Linked DNA regions of Mytilus edulis. The protein of the gene in region 3 purifies or fractionates together with the protein of the main gene of each other region. This does not show direct contact. Links are inferred from orthologs where the notes say so. Each region holds a gene or a part of one and is shown on either strand. Other genes may lie near its edges.

Region 1 (7,542 bases), on a different chromosome or scaffold from region 3:
GAACTACTACAGGATTTTGAAAATGAATATGAAAAAAGTCATGAAATAAAAATCACGAACTTGACTGGTATAAGATGGTAGAACTTTGATATCTCACTAAGCAGTTGAAACAGTGTGTATTTCTTTCTAAGTTGTGATGAGGAAAAACAGTGTGGTCTTGGAAGTATTCTATATGTAGTTTGTCAAAACTGTTCTTACAAAAACCCTAGCTATATTCACTGGGAAAAGACATTGTTTAGCAGAAAAAAAGCAGAAGGGGTTGCAAGTTTTGGACATTAATCATAAACTTAGTATTGTACGGTAATACTAGATATTCCCTATAAATGTACCACATAAATATATACTGGTCATAAATTCTCTGCTGCGTCAGTCAGTCAACAACAACAGATGCCACAAAAAGATTTTCCATTTAAATTAATTAACCTTCTCCACGGTTGCAACAATCATTTAAAATTTATACTTCATAAGTTTTTAAGACTAAAACAAATAAATTGTTAACAAAAGTGAAGTTTGACGATCATTAACCCATCGCTACATTTTGCATTCAATGTTTTTGTTTTCTGTAATGGTGTTTTCTTTCATGTCCGCAATTTTGTGGAAAGTTTCGAAGTTAGAAATAGAACACAAATCTTTATATAGATACATGTATAAATAGTCTATTGTTTGAAGAGTTAAACATGGAATATTCTCCTAATAAAAGAACATTCAGAAAAATAATGAATGCCCTATTACCTACAAATGTATAGAAACTGAAAATAAATCTTTTCAGAAGAACTTTATGATGTTTATATTGATCAATGATCCTTGAAAATAAGGTCATAGTCAACCAAACCCAGCCACACAAACATGTATCACTAACAATGATTCTATCAGATAGACTTTAATATATTTTACCCGTTTCCTAAAAGTAACTGACAATATTTAGATAACTTATTCACAAATCTTAAAATTGATTTTATAGACATTAATACAACATGAAAAGGATGACAAGGTTTATATACCTTGAAAGACAGGAAGGAAATCTTCATCTTCCATATTTCCCTTAAAAGGTGAAATATAGCTCAAGGTGTCATACATATATGTCAGGGTCATTTGATGCAGGCATGATAAAATCAGATTCATTGACTAATATGCATTTTACCTGTAAATGGTGTTTCAACTGGAAAATTTTCCCACATTCTCCACATTTAAATATTGGCTTTTCAGCTGGTTGCCTCCCCTTTTTAGTGTAATCTATTAATGAGGCGACATCAATAAATGATGCTAAGTTTTCTTCTAATGTCTGTGTGAACTGACTGATACAGATTTCTATATCTTTACTTATTGCTTCATCTGTATTCTCTGAAATAAAAAAACACTTTTATGAGAAAAAGATATGCCATATGGCTCAATCAATTGTCTACAACATAATTGCAGACTTAAATACAAACAGTGTTCCTGCCTGTCCTGAATAGAAGGGAGACCCACCCTTTTGAGTACTCACCCCTACCCTTCTGTCCTCCAAAGCAAAAAACTGCATCCATCTGCCTTTTAAAAAAATAAAATTTCCAAATTTCATTCCTATTTGCCTTTCCAGTAAAAATGTTAACTGACGGGTGTAACACACTAGTTTTTCAAAACTTCCTATTTGGTAATTAAACTTTCAAGAGGATCCATATGTTCAAAGAATTATATGTGTTGCAAAATACAAATGCACCAAAACATTTACAATGAATAAATATGTATAAATACCTTTTCAAAATTTGGGATGTATATTGATCTACACAAAACCTATTACTGTGGATTCACTATTATTTGTGGGATACCAATTTTTGTGGTTTTTGTTGGTACAAGATTTATTATGTTCAAAGAATCACAAATTTGCTATTGGGTTGCGTACAGACTTTGACAAAACTACGAAATCAAATATCCACGAAAATGCAAGATTTCCTCAATCCACGAAAATTAATACACACGAAAATAAATGAACCCACAGTATATAATTATGGTTATACATGTATAAAAAGTGGGTTTTTTTTGTAAATGTATAAAACCAAAAGTTATTTAAAAAAGACATGGCAAACCAAATACTGTGGATTGGTTTGTACATGTAGATAAAAAAATATAATGCTCATAACAGTGAGAAACAAATAAGTTTGACAAACCAGATAATACTGAGCAGGTTGATTATTATCTTCCAAATGGTTAATAATATCCTGTTTGGGATACAATACCTTGTATGGGATTTTAGTTTAACACTGAGCAATTTTTTTTTCTTTGGACTCCAGGGAAAATATTACAAAGTGCGCATGCAGAAAATAGCAACTGTACAGCAAAGGCAACAACATTTGGTTAGCAAACTTTCTGAATACCAAATTGTTTATTAATTGTTTATTAATTTGGTCCATTGGAAGGGGTTGATTTATAGAAGGATCAATCCAGCAGCTATTTATTAATTTTTTGGAAAAGCTTCTTTATAAATCAGAAGTCCTGAATGATACTACTACTGCTTTAAACATGCTTAATAAATGCACTTTTCAATATTGAAATACAAAAATTGAGATATTTTTGCACTGAAAATGTATCATGTGTATATATCTTATTTTGGCTAAAATCACAAATTGCCTCTTATGATCTTTTTGGGGAATCCATGTCTGTTTGCCCAAAATCATGTTCCCTCCCATTCACCCCCACATGTTCACACCCTAGTCCAGCCCTGGCCTCAGTGACTTATTTTCAATTTTTATTTATTTTGTTGTTACTGAGTCCAGCTGGCTTTCCATTACCTTCAAAGGTGTAAGCTCGCGGGTAGATAACACGGGAACGATATAGACAAAGGGGTGATGATTAGAACTTACTGATGCCTTCAATCAATTTCTAAGTGCGGACATAGGGTGCAACAAATTTGTTATTATCTGTCAACTTTTTCTGGAACAAGGAGACTTCTCAAGATTGTTAGATAAAAAACAGTTCCGCTGATGAAAATATATGCTCTGAGGGTACAGAGGTGGGAGAATGACTAAGATATGCTTACAATGTAGGCCTAGATAAGTGCACTTGTTCATATATCCTACCTCTGTTTGGAGCAATTTTAAATAACTTAAATTGCAAACATTCCAATCCTGTCTTAATTTTTGATATATTTGATTAATATTTAATTTCCTGGCGAGTGCTCTCAATAAAATTATTTTTTGTTTAAGCTAAGAAAGCAACAACATTCTAACAGGAAACCAATTAGTTGAGTATCACTTTGGTAATCGATACTTGGTACTACTGAGCGTTACTCGAGTACTCAAGAACTCATTGACATCCCTACTTTAGAGATATTAATGTTCCGCGTCATATGAGTATTTGGACCATATGAGTATCTCATATCATGGGGGGTCAGAGGGGTCCAGATCCAGAAATCCCCGGTTTAAAAACATGAAATCCTGACATGCTTGAGGTCACTAATTTTAAAAAAAATCAAATCCCGACATCCCGAAATTCGAATGATGAATTCCCAGATCCTGAAAGGATCAATCCTGAAATCCCGAGCTCAAAAACACCTGATCTGGAGTCCCTATAAAGGTCCATCCCCCCTCTCATAGGGGGTCTCATTGGGGGGTTCCGATCCCGGATCCCGCTTACTGTTTTGTCAGATTCCCGTATCCCGCTTACACTATGTACATAAGCAATTCTCATTTTTTTGTCATTTCCCGGGTCCCGCAAGACCTAATTTCCTGTTTTCACGCCACAATAATTTGACTTTCACGTGTCACGCTTACAAAAAATCGACAATCCCGCGTCACGCTTAGACCCCAATGAGACCCACCTCATATGGTCCAACCATTTGTACATTTTTTGGACTATTATCTAGATATGAGTATATATACTTGTTTGGTTATCGATGGGCCACATCAAATGAGAAATTTGAAACCAAAATTGGCACTGAAATCACATCACATAATACACCAATCAATATGCACTAATAAAAATAGTTTATTTGATGAAAACTACTGTATAAAAAAATATACAGGCCCTGTGAATCAAACTTCGGGTCAAACAGCGTTTTTAACCTTTGATTTCTGACTGATTTATGTCTTCAAAACTGACACTGTCCATTTTTTTCCGGATACCCTGGGATCCTGGCTTACTGCTCGACAATCAACAGAGTTATCGTATATTAGATTGGGTCAGGATGCCTAACTGTTTTTTTCGGACAAGCCAATAAAAACCGGAAGTCACAAAAAATGATAAACTATAACTAGTGAGGAGAGATCCTGTTAATACTACGGAAAATATATTTTCTCGAAAATCTTCACAATTTTAAATTTCATATAAATTTTGAAAAAAGTTCAATTTATTATTTTCATGTCTTTGATATTTATTGTCATGTTTTCTTGGAGAAAAATCTTTTAATTGTCACCAAAATAGTCCGTTGTAGTTGATTATTTTTCATCAATCTTTTATTGGTAGACTTATCATTATTTTCACCAATGAAAATCCAATAAATAATTCACTCCTGGTGAATTGTCAACTTCCTTTTCACGTGTGTGCCAGATTTTGCAACATCAGTCAAAATGTCACACTACAATTTCAAGAAAATCACTGTGGTTCCACCATCAAAAGTAAAGTCAATTGACATTTTATTTGAAGGAAACACTATAGCTAGTTATTTAGTCTTTTGAAATTATGTTCAATTGTAGAAATTACAAAAAGATACATATCATCGTGTAATGTGTTTTCGTACTAATAACAATTTTCACTGCTTACGGTTTTTACTGTTGAGTTTTTATTTAGGTGTTTACTCAGATTTAAAAAGCATGTCCTGTAGATTGATTTTAGGTATCTAGTTTTTTTTGTCAATGATTTCTACGATTTTTTACTGTTTCCGATTACTTTGCGATTTTTGTATGTCAAAAAAACGGCGTCATATGTTTTCGTATGAAATAAAAATTGGATCAGTACACGGACAGGAAATGACTACAAAATCCGGAAATAATTTTTTTTTAAAGTCGTGGTTCTGGTGATCGCTTGAATCATAAAAAAAGTTATTAAATACTTTTCAGTACTAAAAATTACTAGTTAATAGTGTAAGGTTGGTGTTTCGTGTGATGAAATTTTTAGATTTTGATTAATTTTCAGATTGGCACCTGGTTTGTACAAAATACATTATTTTTTCTAAAATAAAATGCAGTTTTCAAAATTTATGATTAAATATAAAAAGTTAAGACTGTTTTCATCTTCATGTATCAAGGATGTATAAAAAAAAATTGTCAATGAAATATTGAATAGTTGGATTTTGAACAACCATTTTATATAAGAACCATGCTAATTTTAACTCGATGGTTTGTAATTAAAACGGCCAAAAAAACACATGACAGTCATATGTCTTGAAGATCCGGTGTCTGACTTGCAAAAAACATATCTGGACTTTATTTTAACCCTTCAGAATTTTTTTCCACAACTATTCTAGTGATGCGTTTTTTTGACATTAAATAAAAATGGCTAAATAGGTCAGTTTTATTTAATTTGTTCTAACGTCTTTAAAAAGCGACGTTGAATATGTTTTAAATATATCAAGTTGTAGTGGTGTTGTTGTTCTAAATATAGAAACAGAAAAACATGCCACAATGTACGCGTATGCAGTCGAAACCGACGAAATGTGGTTGATACGAAAACATATGACATACGAAAACATATGACACGACGATATGTTTATAACATGCCGTTCATGAAAAATTTATGTTTACAAAGATGGGGTTAAATAATAGATTGGTTGATAGTTGCTAGCATCAACGAATATAAGTGGCAACTAAGCAAATTAGTTTTCTTAATACAAATTGAATAATAACTTGCCCGATTGCTAAATCACTCCTCATTGCCCTCAATCTTGAGGCCTGTTAGCCCAAATTTTCTCTATTGTGTGTTTTGCTCAACGTAGTTTCTTCTCGGTGCTATAAAAGGGGTCTCACTAATTAGCGACAACAAGCGTCAAGAAGCGACAACAAGCGTCAACAAGCGACAAGAAGCGACAACAAAAATTATTTTAGCGACAACAAGCGACAAGAAGACTATTTAGCGACAAGAAAACATTTTTTTTTATTAGATATAAAGAAATTTGTATTTAATGTTTTTTTTTAAATATACGAGCAGATATGTCTAATTAAAATGTTTTATAATATAAATAGACGAAGAAATGAAACATTTGTGAGAAAGCTCAAGATTGTCATTAATTTCCTTTCATCTTCAATCAATATGCATAAACATGATAAATATTGCGAGCTTAATATATATTGCACGAAAAGAGTTTTAAAAAACAAATTATAAGATAAATAATATGTTCTAAAACACAAGGAAAAGTAATCTCATAATACAATAATTAAACGTAATACTGGCTGTTATATATATATATTCATAATAGATGATAAAATATTATCATGTTAAATAATGTTTCATTTTTTTCTATCAATTTTAACTTTCTTCGTCGCTAAAATTATTTTCTTTTGCATATTCTTTTAATATTTATTGCAATAATTAATTTTAATTAAAAAAAAAATGTTTTCTTGTTGCTTGTTGTCGCTAAAATAATTCTTATTGTCGCTTCTTGTCGCTAAAATTCTTGTTGTCGCTAATTAGTGAGACCGTATAAAAGGGTATGCACTGGTTAAGAGTGGGATTGTGGAAAAGAAGTATCAAATCTGCAAATTCTGTTTATGAACTCGCCTTCTAATCTGGTAAACATACTGTTCAGGGTGCTCTTTGGATATTTGATTGAACATATCTTCTCGTTTGTTCTCATAGCAAGGACACTCCATGAGGAAAATGGTGAAGTGTTTCACGTGCTCCACAGTTGCATGACTCTGCGTTGGTTTAGTTGTCTTACTTGGTTCTTATAATAGTTGAGTTCTGTGTAGCCAGTTCTATGTGGGTGAAATATGCTGAAATGTCTTTTAGTTGGGAAATCGTACAAAATTGAGTGCTTTGTAGTTGGTATTTTTCCAAACAGGTCTCTGCATAATTCTCATCTTCTCTGCCATTTGACATCTTGAAGTGTTTTAAAGTTATTTCCAGTGGTTTTTCTTATTGATCCTAGCTGACATTGCTGCTGTTTTTGCAAGGATGTAGGCCTCGTCATTGCCAGTTATATTGGCATGTCCTGGTGTCCATGTTATAATTACATTAAGTCCTTTTTGCCTAAGATGTTGTATGTTCTTCTTTTATTTATCTTATTACAGAAATGTAGCTATTTGGGGCCCAGCTTAGTGTTAGTAGTCCCACAGCACAGACTGTCAGAGAAAATTTTTAGATAAAACTTTATTGTACAAAAACAATTTTTTTAAATTTAGGGGGAAATATTCCAAAGTTCAAACAAATAATTCAAAATTTGGTAAGCAACTGTTTTAATGATACTACAATGTTTATTAGATTGATCTCTCAAAAGAGAAAAAAAGCAGTTACTTTGGTTTTAATAATTATATGAAATTGGTTGTCAGCAAGTTTAGAATACTGGATGTTAAAAGAGTAAGAGGCAATCACAATCTAATGTTTTTGAATAATTTTCAGGATTTTATAGACATA
Region 2 (6,952 bases), on a different chromosome or scaffold from region 3:
CTTTTTAATAAGTAGTTCAATTACACAATGAACTGTATCACTAGCCTTTCAATACTGAGTTCATATTCCGCAAGGGGAATTAATTGATGAGGATTGTCAGTTTTCCATAATAAAATGGGTGGTTCTCATTGGGCACTCAGGATTCTTCTACTTGTTAAAATAATACTGTCCTGAAATAGCACAATAGTGCTGAAAGTGGCATTAAACACCATTCAATCAATAAATGTTATACAATCATTGCCAATGTACTATTACATAATATCAATGTACAACAATAAAAACTGATATAAAATAGTAATATAAAGATAAACTTTACTCATTAATCTATCCCTTTTATAGGTAATTTTCTACATGTTTAATACGCATAGCCATACTCACTTTCATGTTTATCCAGACCCATATAAATAGTGTGAGGTGGGGATGTAACTGAAAATATAAACTAAAATTATATGCAAAAGATTTTTTTGTTATGTTCAATGATAGCTTCATTTTACTTTTTATGTTTATTTTTGGCACATGTATGTATATCATTTACAAAATTCCAAAATTAGACCAAGAGTGTATTCAAGCACAAAGCATGATATGTATTATTCAAAGTCTAATATACATTGTAGCGACAGGGTACCCAAATTGCACCTATTTTGACAGTTTTTTTAACCTACGTTTATTTATATATATGCTTCAGACAAAAGTTTTAATTATGTGTTTATTTTGAAGATGTATCATTATTTACTATATTGTTTCACCAATTTAATTTTGAATCGTTATGGAATCATAGAAAAATTGGTCTGAACTGACCTTCAAACCATCAATGATTCTGTAATGAGGAGTACCTAAATTGCATCCATTCTTAAATTTGCATCGTCAAAAGTCGAATAACAGAACTTTTGTTTAATTTCTTTAAATATTTTGAACAATTGGATATAAGTTCATGCTTACTCTTTCTTTTTTTTTTTAGAAATGGATACTTGTAACATATTGTATTTGCTAATTTTAAAAAGATGACGTTTTGATGACATCACTTCCGTACATTTTGCTTTTTCAGGTAACACTTCATCTGTTGATAAATACTGTGAACATTGTGTGTATATCTAAATATTTTTACCTATGTTGAAAGAAGTGCATAGTATCAAATCATAAAAATACAAATTGTTTAGTCTCTAAGAAATCTTTTAAGATTCCCGCTGCTATTTTTGCTGAATAGGTGCAATTTGGGTACTCGGTTTAATTTGGGTACCGCGACGTTACCTTTCATGGATAATTAAAGTCATTAAACATAAAAAAACATGCAGATACCATCAACAACGTATTCTACAAAAGTATTTTAGAACAAAAGTTTTTCTCTTTTCTAAAAATTTATGAAACAATTGATATCAAATTCAACAGCTTCATGTACATATTGTACAAATATGGACAAACATGTTTAACATTTGGAGTTATATGTACATCCACATCATTTGAATTGTAGTAGATTATGATGGTTGTCTTATTGGCAATCATACCACATGCAACAAAAATGCACCCACCTCAATTATCAATGTTCTTGATAAGCTACATTGAAGTTTTTTTTAAATGACATTGTTCTTCCCAGAGCCTAATAGTTTTTTTTTAACATAGTGTATTATAACAGTAGTACAATGTACTATTTTTTGGGGGGAAACAGTCCTACATGTATTTCAAATTACCTGGAAAGAACACTTATGTATCGATAAATTATTAAGAGAAGGAAATACTGACTTTTTTAAGTTCAAATATTTATTCACTGAAATAAAATTGAGAATGGAAATGAGGAATATGTAAAAAAAAATCAACTCAAAACAGTCATCTTCCACTTGCTAACAGGTCCTTAAGGATGATGTCTGTTCACAACAGGTCAATTTGCACCAAATAGAGTCCTATTAACATGATTTGAAAAAATTACAGCAACTGATTTAATAGGTGACAGCAATGATAACCATAAATACTAATGTCATGCACAAACCAGTTGGTCAACATATCTCACTGAAAGTTTTAATCTTTATATTATTTTTAAAATTTGGTCACATTACTTTTTGTTCAGTAAAATTACTTTTCAAAACAAACTTCTATCAAACCAATGAATGCATAAGAATAATAAGAATGTATGGGTGAAGCGACTGAGGATGAACTGTTAGTGACTAAGTGTGGCCGAAACGTCTCAAAAGCCATTCTTGACACAGGTACTTGTGGACAGGATACCCTTTGAGTGCCCCTGAGTGGGAGTATCCCGATTGACACCCCATGTAGTTTATTTTTTGTTTGTTTTTCATTAAATGTTTATTTTAATTGTTTTTACTTTAATATATGTTGAAGTTACTGACAAACAGCATTTGAGTTTTTTGCCGGTCGACTGACTCTCTACATGTATATAGAGGGTGGTAAAGGGTTATTTTCGTGCATCGTTTTTAGCCTTTTTATTTCATGTGTTTTCGTGTTTTGAGATTTTATTTCTCGATTTCTCGTGTTTGGTTCGACGTGCGTGTCTCATGTTCTCCTTTATTTATTTTTCGTGTTTCGTGTCGGAACTATTAATTTCTCTTGCTTGTCCCGCATTTGATTAAAAAGTACCGGTAAACCGGGACTAAATTCAAAGTTAGTCTGGAGATTGTTTAAAATTATGTGTTCCCAGAATATTTAAAATTGCTATCAAATTATTATTATGAATAATATTTTTCCTTCAAATCAGTTGCAACTAGTGGACGCTAAAAGGTGACTGTAGGGTCATCATGTCCATTTTATAATTTATAACAAGATGATACCCAAGAACGGCTGCACGATTAATAAATTATTTTACGTTTTCCGTTAATATTTACGATTTTATTTCTCTTGCTTCTTTTTTCCAATTTTTATTTTCTGTGCAACGTTTTTGTGATTTTTATTTCACGTGTTTCAGTGTTCAGGGCCCCCTTTACCACCCTCTATATACATATCAGTCGACCGGCAAAAATCTCAAATGCTGTTCGTGAGTAACTTCCACTTGTATATTACAAGTAATAACACTTAAAATAAACGTTACTTTAGTGAAAAATAAATAAAAATTAAACTACATTGGGGGTCATTTGGGATACTCCCACTCAGGGGCACCCAAAGGGTATCCTGTCCACAAGTACCTGTGATTCTTGATGCATAAAACGAACAAAAAAATCAGAGAAAAATGACTCAGGGAAAATAGGAATCAGAACCAAAAAATTCTAGGAATGAACAGGAACATAATGAAAGGATTCCTTCAATTTCAATTTTCGCAAAATAAAACTTGATAAATAAAAACTTCAATTGGCCATATTGAGATAAAAAAAAAATAACAAACAAAACAGTGCATCACATTTTTCAGATCTTAATAACCGCACTTGGCTGTATCACTTATTACAGTTCATGTTAGTGAACCAGTCATGGTGATAGATTGATAATTTGTTGTTGTTTGCCAATCGTCCAGTGGGAAATATTTCATGAATGTTCAGGACGATCAACCATCTATGCATCTATGAGTTCAGATTAAATTTATCTATAAAATTTCTGTCACTTATTTGGATAATTGGGGTTTCTATTTTCATTAAATTACCATTTGTTGTGAAGAAAAATACCATTTTCACTTTTTTCCAAATTATCAATTTCACGTTTTTGGAAAAAGTATTTTTCTAACTTCAATGAAAAAGATTTTTAAACATGTAAAGTGCTAATTTAAGGCTACATTTTTTTCAATATCAAATACAAAAACGTTCTAACATCGTATTTGCCTATATAAGAGAATATAATTAATAAATCTGAATTCATTTATTCGTTAAATAATAACTTTAAACAGACTACTATTAGACTACACTGTTATTGTAAGGATATTTTATACACGAATATCATCACTTTAAAAGAGGAATCCATGTGGTATTGACTTCCGGTAATTGCACGTTTATCTTTTTCTAGTGTTCCTTCATTTGGATAGAATTAAAATGGGAAAACCTGGAATGAAGCCGACTAAGAGGGATGGCATCAACAAAGCAAAACATAGTTTGAACCCAGGTGAATAAGAGTTTGATAGTTTGATTACAGTTCTTCAGGGGCCGAACCCCCCTTTTTTTTTAGTAAATATTGTATAATATATCATGTATATTAACCTATGTTTTCTTTTTTAATATTTTCTACTCTTTTTCATACGAAATAATACAATATCACTGTATGACAGGAGTAACCTATGTGTGGGGTCAAAGACTAAACTATTTTTGGAAATGTGAATTCCAGCATATTTTAAATACACCTTATCGCTATTTGTCCGCCATTACTGAATATCACACAGGTTCCCATAAAATTTTGACGTCATAAAACAAAATATCTGACGCCACAATGGAAAAGTGATTGTTGTATGCGTCAAAAGTTCAAGTGGCTGGGTCAGCCTGGATTAGCGATAAGGTCAGTCCGAGATTACTCTGACGTCCAACGGCTGTTTTGCCAGACAAGCTGGGGCCGTGGAACGTCAGAGCTCGTCCCATATCAAAAAGTGGATATTTGCCCACCCAAAAGAGATGCGCTCCTTCGTCGCTTCTGGTGCCGATTGAGGGCCTTGGAATTATATAAATCGGGCATCAATCTGTTCATTTTTCATTTATCTCTTCATTTATGTAAGTTTCACCTACCTGCAAACCTTTATTTTTCCATATTTTAACAGTTTTCACAGAGACCCATCGATTTCTGCATTTTAACTTTCACTTTCAAATGGACGTCAAGTAACGAGAGAGTTAGTGGGGTGCAATCAACAGTTTTTTTCTATGACGTCATATTTTGAGGGACCATGTATAAGTGACCCTTAGTGGTGGACTGATTAATAAAGATACCTGTATAAAACTAGATATCACTGGAATCAGAATGTTCTCTAGTTTATAATGGAATTAAAAAAACGTGTACTTTTAATAGTATAAAAAAGTTTTATCCAGAGAAACTGGGAAAAACATTGCCTAATTTAAGCTTAAAAAACCTGAAATCAGGTCATGTGCACACCCCTGAAGACATGATACCTGCACATTTTTCATAATCAAAGTTGTATGAATTTCATAGATATTTACCTGGTCTTTCAAAAAATTCATGCTTCAGGGTACGTTCGCCTGCTCCGAAAAAAGCTACAGTGGCTGCAAACAAGTTTTGAATTTTCACTGCCAAAAAAACAAACTGTTTACAGTGTTGTCTCCCCTTAAAACATGAATATTTAATCTAATTTTTTAAATTATTTTAATCATTCAACCTGTTTTAATTGAAGTTAATTAACATATCTTCACAACCAAATACAAAAAACATGATACTTTTTCACCAATTATGTTGATAAAAAGGGACTTCTCTCCATGTCTATTTTTAGTTGGGGAATAACTCATAGTTTTTTATACGAAACTGTTTATAGCACCCGTGGCCTCGAGACTCAAATATGCAAATATTTATATTTTTTCACCTCCTTTTTGGTGATTGATGTTTAACATTTAGAAGCCAACCACGATTTTTCACCTCCTTTACAGGAGATCGGTATTAAGCATTTAGTTCCCACCACGATAACAATCGGAAGCTCTCAGACATTTAGATAACTTGCATCGTAAATGAACGAGGTGTTACATTATGGTCATTTGCACTGTTTTCTTGTGGTCACGTGATAATCTTAGAAAATGAAAGTCAAAATGCAGAAATCGATGGGTCTCTGTGAAAATTGTTAAAATATGTGAAAATAAAGGTTGGCAGGTCGGTGAAACTTACATAAATGAAAAATGAACAGATTGATGCCCGATTTATATAATTCAAAGGCCCTCAATCGGCACCTGAAGCGACGGAGCAGCGCATCTATTTTGGGTTGGCAAATATCCACTTTTTGATATGGGACCAGGGCTCAGGCTACCAGGCGACTTGGGCGAAGAAGTCGCCTTCCCGACCGTCACTTCGCTTTCCCCGACCCCCAAAAGCGAAAACAAGTCGCCCTGTTCTTGACGATAGTCGCTTTCAGTCGCTTCCGTCATCGGACATTTTCAATTTTTACCAAGTTGATGAAACATCAATTTTTTACTGATAATTAAAGAAATTCAGACATAAACGATTCATTATCTTTAGAAAAGAGGTTGAAGCATTGTCTTCGCAGTGTGTAGCAGGTTTTTTGATAAAATACAACTTTTTATCACTTCGTTCATCTCTGCAAGTTCCGGTGCTTGTTACTCGAAAACGTACATCAACCTAAATTTCGGCGGCAAAATAAGTTTGTTACTTAATTTAAACGTGACAAAAGTTGCCTCCAGTAAATGTTTAATCCATTTATTGCATTAAAACCGTCATGTTCCTTTCCAAAAAACTTGTCAAACATCGTTTATTTTTGTAAATTTTCTTGCATTCATCCGCCATTGACCGATTTCTAAACTACAGATCTGAACCGGACCAGCTATGACCGAAATCCGTACTTTTACAATAATTACTACGGACGCACGGATGGAACAGCTGACAGAAGAATATTGATCCCAAAGGGGAAAATTATGCATTCCACACGCATTAAGAGACTTTTGGTTACATCTAATTGATTGGTGTATATAATTCCCTATATTTTTTATGGATTGTTTCAAACTATTGATTAAAGTTGCTGAACTCTGAGACTATTATACTAATATCAATATATTATGGCCCAGCTTAATAACTTTTATATTTTTTTTATGAGAAACACTGAATTTCATACACAAGATAATTTTTAATTAAATTGTAATTGATATATTATAATTTCTTTACATTTTTTAAAATAAATTTTTTTTTTAGTGCTAGATATTTAGTTGGTAGTTTAATTTCTCACAAGAACCTTAGTAAAACTTAAACAACTTTTAATTTCAAATGTTACTTTAATTGTATTTTTTTACTCATATGAATTGAACAACATAAATAGAACATTATTTACATATGGCCCTTTATACTATTGTAAAATCCAAACATTGTAGTG
Region 3 (7,740 bases):
CAAATTGTCGGTTGTTTCTCCATACATTTTGGTCCTATATTGTTGAGTTATTCCCCCCCCCCCAAAAAAAAAAATTATAGCTCACTAAATTAAACAATGTAACTGAAGAGTGAGATATCAATTTGTTAATAACATCCAGCGTTATTATAACTTGTATAATTATTCACCTCCAAGTTTCCTGAAGCCTAGCTAAAGGATGATCATTGTCTTCACTTAGTCTACTAGGACCCATACACAAGACTTGATGATATTCATCCAAAGCTGTTTTTCTACATAATTCGCAGCAATATGTCACCTGTATAAAAAAAACCAGTTATATTGACTGAATTTAGCAGTGAGTTTTTGCTTTTAATAATAATAATGTGCTATGATAAGGGACTCAAGGTGAATAAAATATCATTCACCAGGATTTTTTCTCATATGTATGAAGCCATTGAAGTAAATAAACAATGATTGACATTTACGATATAATATTGGATTGATTAGAATTTTTCTCACTTTTTTCGCTATAGTGAAGGGTGCTAAAATTAGGAATGCACTCAAAAATTTGGAAATTTCAATGCTTAAACTTTTGATAGTGTGTATTTGTCCAACAATATCAAGGGTATCCGGAAAGGTCTTTAAACATAAAGTAGAAAGGACTGTTTGCAGATCCTTGTTAGCAGACCTTAATCTGTATTTTATTCAGATACTACTTTTCCTTGGTATTATGTTCAAACCACAAGTTAAACTGTTAAATGCAATACACTGTCACAAGTTCCAAAGGCTTTATATGAAGTTTTTGGCAAGACCATGCTATCAATCATCAAAGAAAAAACTATTTTACTTTCTTTCATGAAAAAAAATGAATCCTTCATACATACAATGACATACAACAATTTATACAGAAGACTTTGCTCTGCACTTGAACGAACCCTTTAGCTTGCAACCACTTTTTGACACATCTGTGGCTTGTTGCATAGAAAAGTTTCAACCCTATCCTGAGTGACTGAACATTCTATTGTTTTCCAGGAGTAGTACAAATTTCCTGCCCTTTATGTCCTGCTCCATACAGTACACACAGAGAGGATGTAATCTCATACTCCCAACACTGATTCTGGTGTAACACAGTGTCACACTGTGAAAGACAGATTTCCCTCCCAAAAAACACCAAGGAATTACTCCCATCTGGGAGGGTTTTATGACCTGTTGATTGCAGGTAAAAGTAATAAAAATCAACAAAGCATGACTGCATAGTCTGACAGTGACATATAATCAAATGTCAACTATTCTCTCACTTCTTCCTATTTCAATCATTTCCTATTTAGTTTAATTTCTGAAAGCTATAAAAAAAAAAAGGTTAATGAAAATACATCCTCTCTGTGTGTACTGTACCTACCTATTTTAAAATTATTAATAATTTCTCATACTGAATATGCATGAAATAATTGCCACTGAACATTAATCATTAATTACTAAATTAATTCATGTATTCTCTGAATAATTTGGTTACCTGACAACCAGGACAATCCACATATGGTGACTGATCAGTAATATCACATTCCGGATGTGGGAGACTTAAATGTGGATTTGTTGATAATCTACGAGCTTGTTCTTCTGCTGTTTCTAAAGATTTCATACAGTATTCACATGCTTTGTATTTGTACAACTCATTCCATAGAAACTGTGTGGAAACAATTGGTGTCTCTTCAAAAATAACATCACCTTTGTTTATGTTTTTCTTTGCAAACAAGCCTTTTCCCTGGAAAAAATATATGTATGTCATAAAATGCCAATCCTAAACAATGATCGTTTGCAAGAAACATTTTAATTTTATAATAACTTTTACCATGGTTACATACTTAAGGTAGCTTGGGTGTCTTCCTCCATCTTGGATTTTGAATTAGCAGAAAACAATCGATTCAGTCTAGATCTTTAATGAAATGAGCAAATTTCAAGAGTAGTATGTATTTCATGTGTAAGACTTTTCATGTTAATATTGAAAATTATGTGTTTCATCATAATTACCATGATTACGCCTGTATATTACAAATAAAAGTGATTTTTTTGTTTTATCAATTTTTTTCCAAACTTTTCCATGTAAGGGTAGATAACTCAGATAAAGAAATCTTTATATCATAATGTGTTGTGTAAATTTACTTATTTTATTATTTAGGAAGAAAATGAGTTTGATGATCTCATTTTTTCTTTTTTGTATCTGCATGAAAGCATATAATATATATGAGCTATCTCCTCATACATGTATCTAATCTTTAAATTATATGGTTTTGTTTTCTTTTTATCACACAAAAATAGGGATTTCCATGCATCATGTTCATAATCTATACAAAATGAAAATCTGACAAATGTGCACAACCTGTAGCCACAAAAGCCCAGTGACCCATACGTTTTATTATATTTTTGAAAAACAGTATGACATAAACTACATTTAGCATGTTTAGACAAATAATCAAAATATTTTATGGATTTTAATTTAGACTCCCATCTACCCTAAGTAGGATAAGTGCATAATTTAAGTTAATTTTTAGTTATGCAAATGACTCTAAGAGAGACAGTATTATTTCCTCATCTATACCCAGCGGTAGTTACAGTTCTATCTTTATAGCTAACTAAGAGGACTTGATCATGCAGCTCATTATTTAGAATACGTAGAGGATACTCAATAAAAAAAAATTGCAGGTTTGCCTCTATCTTTCAATATTTGTCTGTTGCTTGCATTGGTTTTATTCAACAATGTTTATTAACATAGGTTTACTAACTTGCCTTTACCAATAACATTTTTGGCAGGACTATGTAACAAGGTTGGGCGGTAAATACCACCCCCGGTATTTTACCAGTGGTATTTACCGGTATTTTCCGCCCTGGACAATACTCCCCAAGTGGTCAATACTGGCAAATACTGGTCAATTGAAATTTTCATGGTTGTTTCTACTATTAATTGAAGTAAAAACTTGATAAAAAGTCAAAAATACTTAAAACTTTAATCTTTATGCATGTGTCAGCTTTGGAAAGAATACATGTATGTAACATAAACTATCTCAACTAAATCTTAATTATAAGGACACAAATTCTTGCTACAATTGACTTATACATTGTACATCAAGCATCAACCTACAATTTTTGTATTTTTTTTTGATGACTCAGGGCAAATTTTTTTTTGACAGAAGTGTATAAGATAGGAAACATGAACTTGATTATTATCTTTAAACACTTGAACACTGTAAAACTCTTTATTTTTTTTACCAGATTTCTAAACTCTAGTAGCTATATATATATATATATATATATATAGTAATACCAAGATGAGGGAAATGAAGCTGATGACTCATTTAACACATACATGAAGATGTATTTTAAAAACTGGTTTATAAACATGATAAATGAGGGTAATAAAAGGGGGTACCTTCATGATGAATAAAGGTAAAAAATCTTGCCAAATGATATGTTAACGGTAATATTTCGTGGGCTTTATGAAAAAAATCTACCGATTTTGACGAACCACCTAAAATTCCTTGAAAATGGTAACGATAATTATTTCAGAACTCAAAAATAACTAGGGGTCGAATTTAAGCTTTTTGTATACTGGCAAGCTGGAACAGTGGAATAAAAAATCTACTGGTCCAGCTGCGAGGGGGGATAGGACCTTTATCGGGACTCCGGGATCAGGTGTTTTTAAGCTCAGGATTTCTGGATTGACCCTTTCGGGATCCGGGAATTCTTTTTTTAAATTTCAGGACCTCGGGATTTCGTTTTTTTTAAGCCCGGGATTACGTGATTTCGTGTTTTTAAGCTCGGGATTTCTGGATCAGGACCCCTCCTACCCTCCCTCAGCTGCAAATCTTAACTGGTTCTGCAAAAATGACATTCATTTGACAAACACTAAAAACAATTTCATGAAACAATATTTTATATTAATTTCTTCAAGTTAACAGGAAATAATATTTTATTTTCAATGAATACAATTATCCTCTTTGACATGCTTCAGTACCGGGTAAATGATTTCGCAAGTTAATTTGTTTGCAAACAAACTGATATTGCGATGCAATCAGTGAGTTTTATCAACAAATTTCTACTGGTCCACCAGACCACCAGCAGACAAAATCTACTGATCCGACGCAAATTCTTCTGGTCTATGACCGCAGGACCAGCGCCAGTTTCGACTCCTGGAAATAACTCTGACCAATCCTGATCATATACAATGTATATAAGCATGACATAACTTAACATGAGATTAATAAATTTTAATCAATTTCATGCAAACATTAGCCGAAAACTACTGTTTAACGCCTAACAATAAAGGTGCATTTTTACCCTTTACATATACATGTAGTGATGTACCAAATTAGGGTTGTTGAAGTAATGACTAAATGAATGACAGGTGAGGTGGGATAGGTCTTGAGGATTGAGGAGTAAACTTGTGACTAAATTATTATATTCATCTGATTATTTGTTTCCCTCATTACTTTTAGTTCATCAATAAGTTGTATTTCTACATTTTCTGTGCTGTTTTTCAACTCCATTTCTATTTGATGAACCGAAGACGGTATGGAACTTATACGAAAATAAATTTTATGTTCATTTTTCTTTTAAATAATAATGAAATGTCACCAAAAAGATAAATCATATCTAATTGACCAAAATGAAGAAATTTATTCTTGTTCTTTTGTTCAAATCTTTAAAGAACGACCGTTTGTAAATACAATTAAACGCGGAATTGCATCTAATCCGATTTAAGTTTTTGTTTAGAATCCCATTGACAACTTCCGCCACATGTTCATTTATTTTATTTTTAATTTTGATATAAGAAAAACAAGCATTTCCTTGTTTTGAATTACTTGGTAAGGTGTGTATGATATTAAACCCTTCATCCTATAACTTTAGGTTATGAAATTATAACATGACAAACTCAGAGTGCTTGATTTTGATAAAAAATCTAGATAGCATTCTGTTTGCTTTTCTTCATACATACGAATTTGTATAATTATTGATAATATTACTTTACAAACATGAAAAATCCTTGTTGTAATTAACTGATTTGTGTATATGTTTTCCTTCTTGCCTTCATGAATTCGGTCATACACTGCTGGCCTATAACATAAGATTTATTTACAGTACCATTCAAAAGGACCAACTCTCCCACACCCTACACCAAGGAAAATGTCCGAGTTACTCCGAAAAACTCTGATATTCCTCCCAAAATGTTGGGAGGAATTTGGGAATAATCTCTTCCAAAATCAGGTAAATGTTTATTGTGATAGCGAGCTCACTCCCCTATTATTTGCTCTTATCCTACTTTGATCTATACCGACACACGACTGATAGGGTAATAGGCTTAAAGTCATATGAAACGAGTAAGTGGTTAAAAATAACGTTTATCCAATTCTTGAACCAATGCATGTATATATCATAAACTTAGTCCTCTGTGCACAAATTTCTCATTTTACGCATATATAATGTTTAATCGTCAATTTTTTTTTTCTCTCTGTCTGTTATGATTTAACAAATATGGCTACTCATTAAATGCCGTGTTTTGAAGCCGAAGTTTACCGATTGTCACCTTATAGTAAACAAATAACAAAAAGCATAGTTATTGAGCACGTGTTTAACATGAACAATCAGATAATTGTTTATTTTAATGACAGATCCATGCTTATTGTGACCACCAGATTTTTACGAGGAGGGTTACGCTCAGGTCACTATGCATACTGAAAATATGTCGGCGAAGCAATTTAAAATAATGAAATTCTTCTAAATGTGAACAAATTAACACTAGTTATACGTCCATGGTCAATAATATAAATTTATGGTTGATGAAATATTGAAATTATGATGGAAATTGTCCAGGGATCAATTGTGTTCAAAAGACAAAAATACAATAAAGAACTGCCAATTTTGGGCGATTAAGAAATGTTCAAAAATGAAATGCTGACTGATTTAACTGGAATAGAATATTATGATGGGCAATTGAGGTTTAATAATAATTAAAGGATTAGTGACCTATTGAATGGCGATAAGCGGATTACTTATCATCACAACTTTTAACATCTTTTGTAAACGTTAAATGGCTGCGCGTCATAAACTTGTCAAAAACATGAAGACAGGTAAAATCATAGTAATTTAATGCTAAAATATTTTTACACTTTCCAAATTTAAATGACGAAATTGATATTAAATACTTTCATCAATTTGAAAACCGTTTCGTAGCAAAATCACTTGAAGTTATTCCCTTTGTTCAACAGAGTTGTCACTTTACAGTTTCTTTTCGTAATTTAGATTATTGAAGTCTGTATAAATGTACCGAGGTGGTGAAACATAGTATTTTACATTGCTTCAATAAATTGAGTTTTACTTGTTGAACCGATGAATAGATTAGACGATCGAGTTACAAAAAAAAGACCTGATTATGTTGTCACGCGTCGTAAATGTTTAGTACATCCGATTGGCAATAAACCAATTAACAGCCACGCAGTGTTGGGAGAGAATCTTTGGAGGAATTTGGGAGTGAAATCCGCGGTACTTGGTAGCTCCGAAAAACACGGAAATCGGAAAAAAAAGGATATTGAATCGTTCCGTTTGAATGGTACTGTAATACATTTTTACTCTTTTACAAAATGTATTAGGGCCTCATATGCATGATGTAATGATAATAAACATGTGGATATGTAATCAAATGTCAAATAACAAAAATACTCAACTCCAAGGAAAATTCAAAACAGAAAGTCCCTTATTGATGGTATAATCAAAAGCTTAAACTCAAACAACTGTCACATTCTTGACTTGGAACAGGCTTTAAGTAGTAAATGGTGGATTAAATCTGGTTTTAAAGCTAGCTAAACATCACACTTGTATGACAGTTGTATAGGAATCTGTTATATTGACAATGATGTGTGAACAAAAAAGACAGACATAAAAGGTAAAAAAGGTAAAAAATTGGGGTACAGCAGTCAACATTGTGTTATTATCTTAATCACCATAAAAATCATTCATACATGTACTTTCAGAGGTTGAGATGGTGGTGTTTACTTGCAGCCAGTGTAACGAATCACTGAAGAAGAATCAAGTAGAAAAACATTTTCAGACAAGATGTCGTAACTGCAATATGATATCATGTGTTGACTGTGGAAAAGATTTCTGGTTGGTATATTATATACATTTGCATAGGTTTATTTTTTGTTTAGAGTTGTCTCCCTTGTCAAAAATTCTAGAAAGGGGACTTATCTATGTAATGTAGCTAATTTATATTTATTTTATAAATAAATTTACCTCAATCAAAAATAAGAAGTTCATGAATTTGGGGTATGTTTTGCAATGAGACAACTCTCCACCAGGGATCAAATGACTCAAAAGTTTGCCACTATAGGTGAACAATCTCCTTCAATAATGAGCCATAAATTACAAATTAAGGCATACATGTCATTCTTCATTATATTATATTAATAATTTCTGTGATTATATTAAGAAATAACTTTCTTATCAAAATGAAAACAGAGGTAAGAACATTGAAATTAGATATCAAATTAACACTTATCTCCCCTAAAACTGCACTACCTTCCTTACAGAAGAATTTATTTGGCAGTACAATGTACCAATAAAAAAATTCATGTGAACTATCGGTATATCAAAATTATGGAAAGATCCTGATTCATTTTTTGGATCAGAAGGGAAAATGAAATTTGATTATGGTATCATTGAGATTTTCTCAAAATTACAAATGCCTATTATCATGATTATGATACTGTG

The links.
Region 1: the proteins of cell growth-regulating nucleolar protein-like (region 3) and GTP-binding protein 4-like purify together in Homo sapiens (co-immunoprecipitation; 3 studies listed by BioGRID and IntAct, with this or other methods). This does not show direct contact. The link is inferred for Mytilus edulis from reciprocal best matches to the Homo sapiens genes LYAR and GTPBP4.
Region 2: the proteins of cell growth-regulating nucleolar protein-like (region 3) and uncharacterized protein purify together in Homo sapiens (affinity purification with mass spectrometry; 3 studies listed by BioGRID and IntAct, with this or other methods). This does not show direct contact. The link is inferred for Mytilus edulis from reciprocal best matches to the Homo sapiens genes LYAR and GNL2.

What each region holds. Positions count from the first base shown.
Region 1 is NC_092345.1:13,257,891-13,265,432, reverse strand, and holds the start of GTP-binding protein 4-like, read left to right. Parts: upstream 1-4,470; 5' UTR 4,471-4,541; coding exon 4,542-4,589; intron 4,590-7,527; coding exon 7,528-7,542. Other genes in the region: zinc finger protein 28-like, read right to left, coding at 1,142-1,341, 4,038-4,083. UniProt on the Homo sapiens protein: Involved in the biogenesis of the 60S ribosomal subunit. Acts as a TP53 repressor, preventing TP53 stabilization and cell cycle arrest.
Region 2 is NC_092344.1:111,337,157-111,344,108, reverse strand, and holds the start of uncharacterized protein, read left to right. Parts: upstream 1-3,868; 5' UTR 3,869-3,959; coding exon 3,960-4,029; intron 4,030-6,952. Other genes in the region: coiled-coil domain-containing protein 25-like, read right to left, coding at 379-426, 3,578-3,602. UniProt on the Homo sapiens protein: GTPase that associates with pre-60S ribosomal subunits in the nucleolus and is required for their nuclear export and maturation.
Region 3 is NC_092347.1:43,469,328-43,477,067, forward strand, and holds the start of cell growth-regulating nucleolar protein-like, read left to right. Parts: upstream 1-4,735; 5' UTR 4,736-4,838; exon of another isoform or gene 4,839-4,843; intron 4,844-7,001; 5' UTR 7,002-7,009; coding exon 7,010-7,134; intron 7,135-7,740. Other genes in the region: protein-lysine N-trimethyltransferase SMYD5-like, read right to left, coding at 168-295, 1,493-1,741, 4,464-4,520. UniProt on the Homo sapiens protein: Plays a role in the maintenance of the appropriate processing of 47S/45S pre-rRNA to 32S/30S pre-rRNAs and their subsequent processing to produce 18S and 28S rRNAs. Also acts at the level of transcription regulation.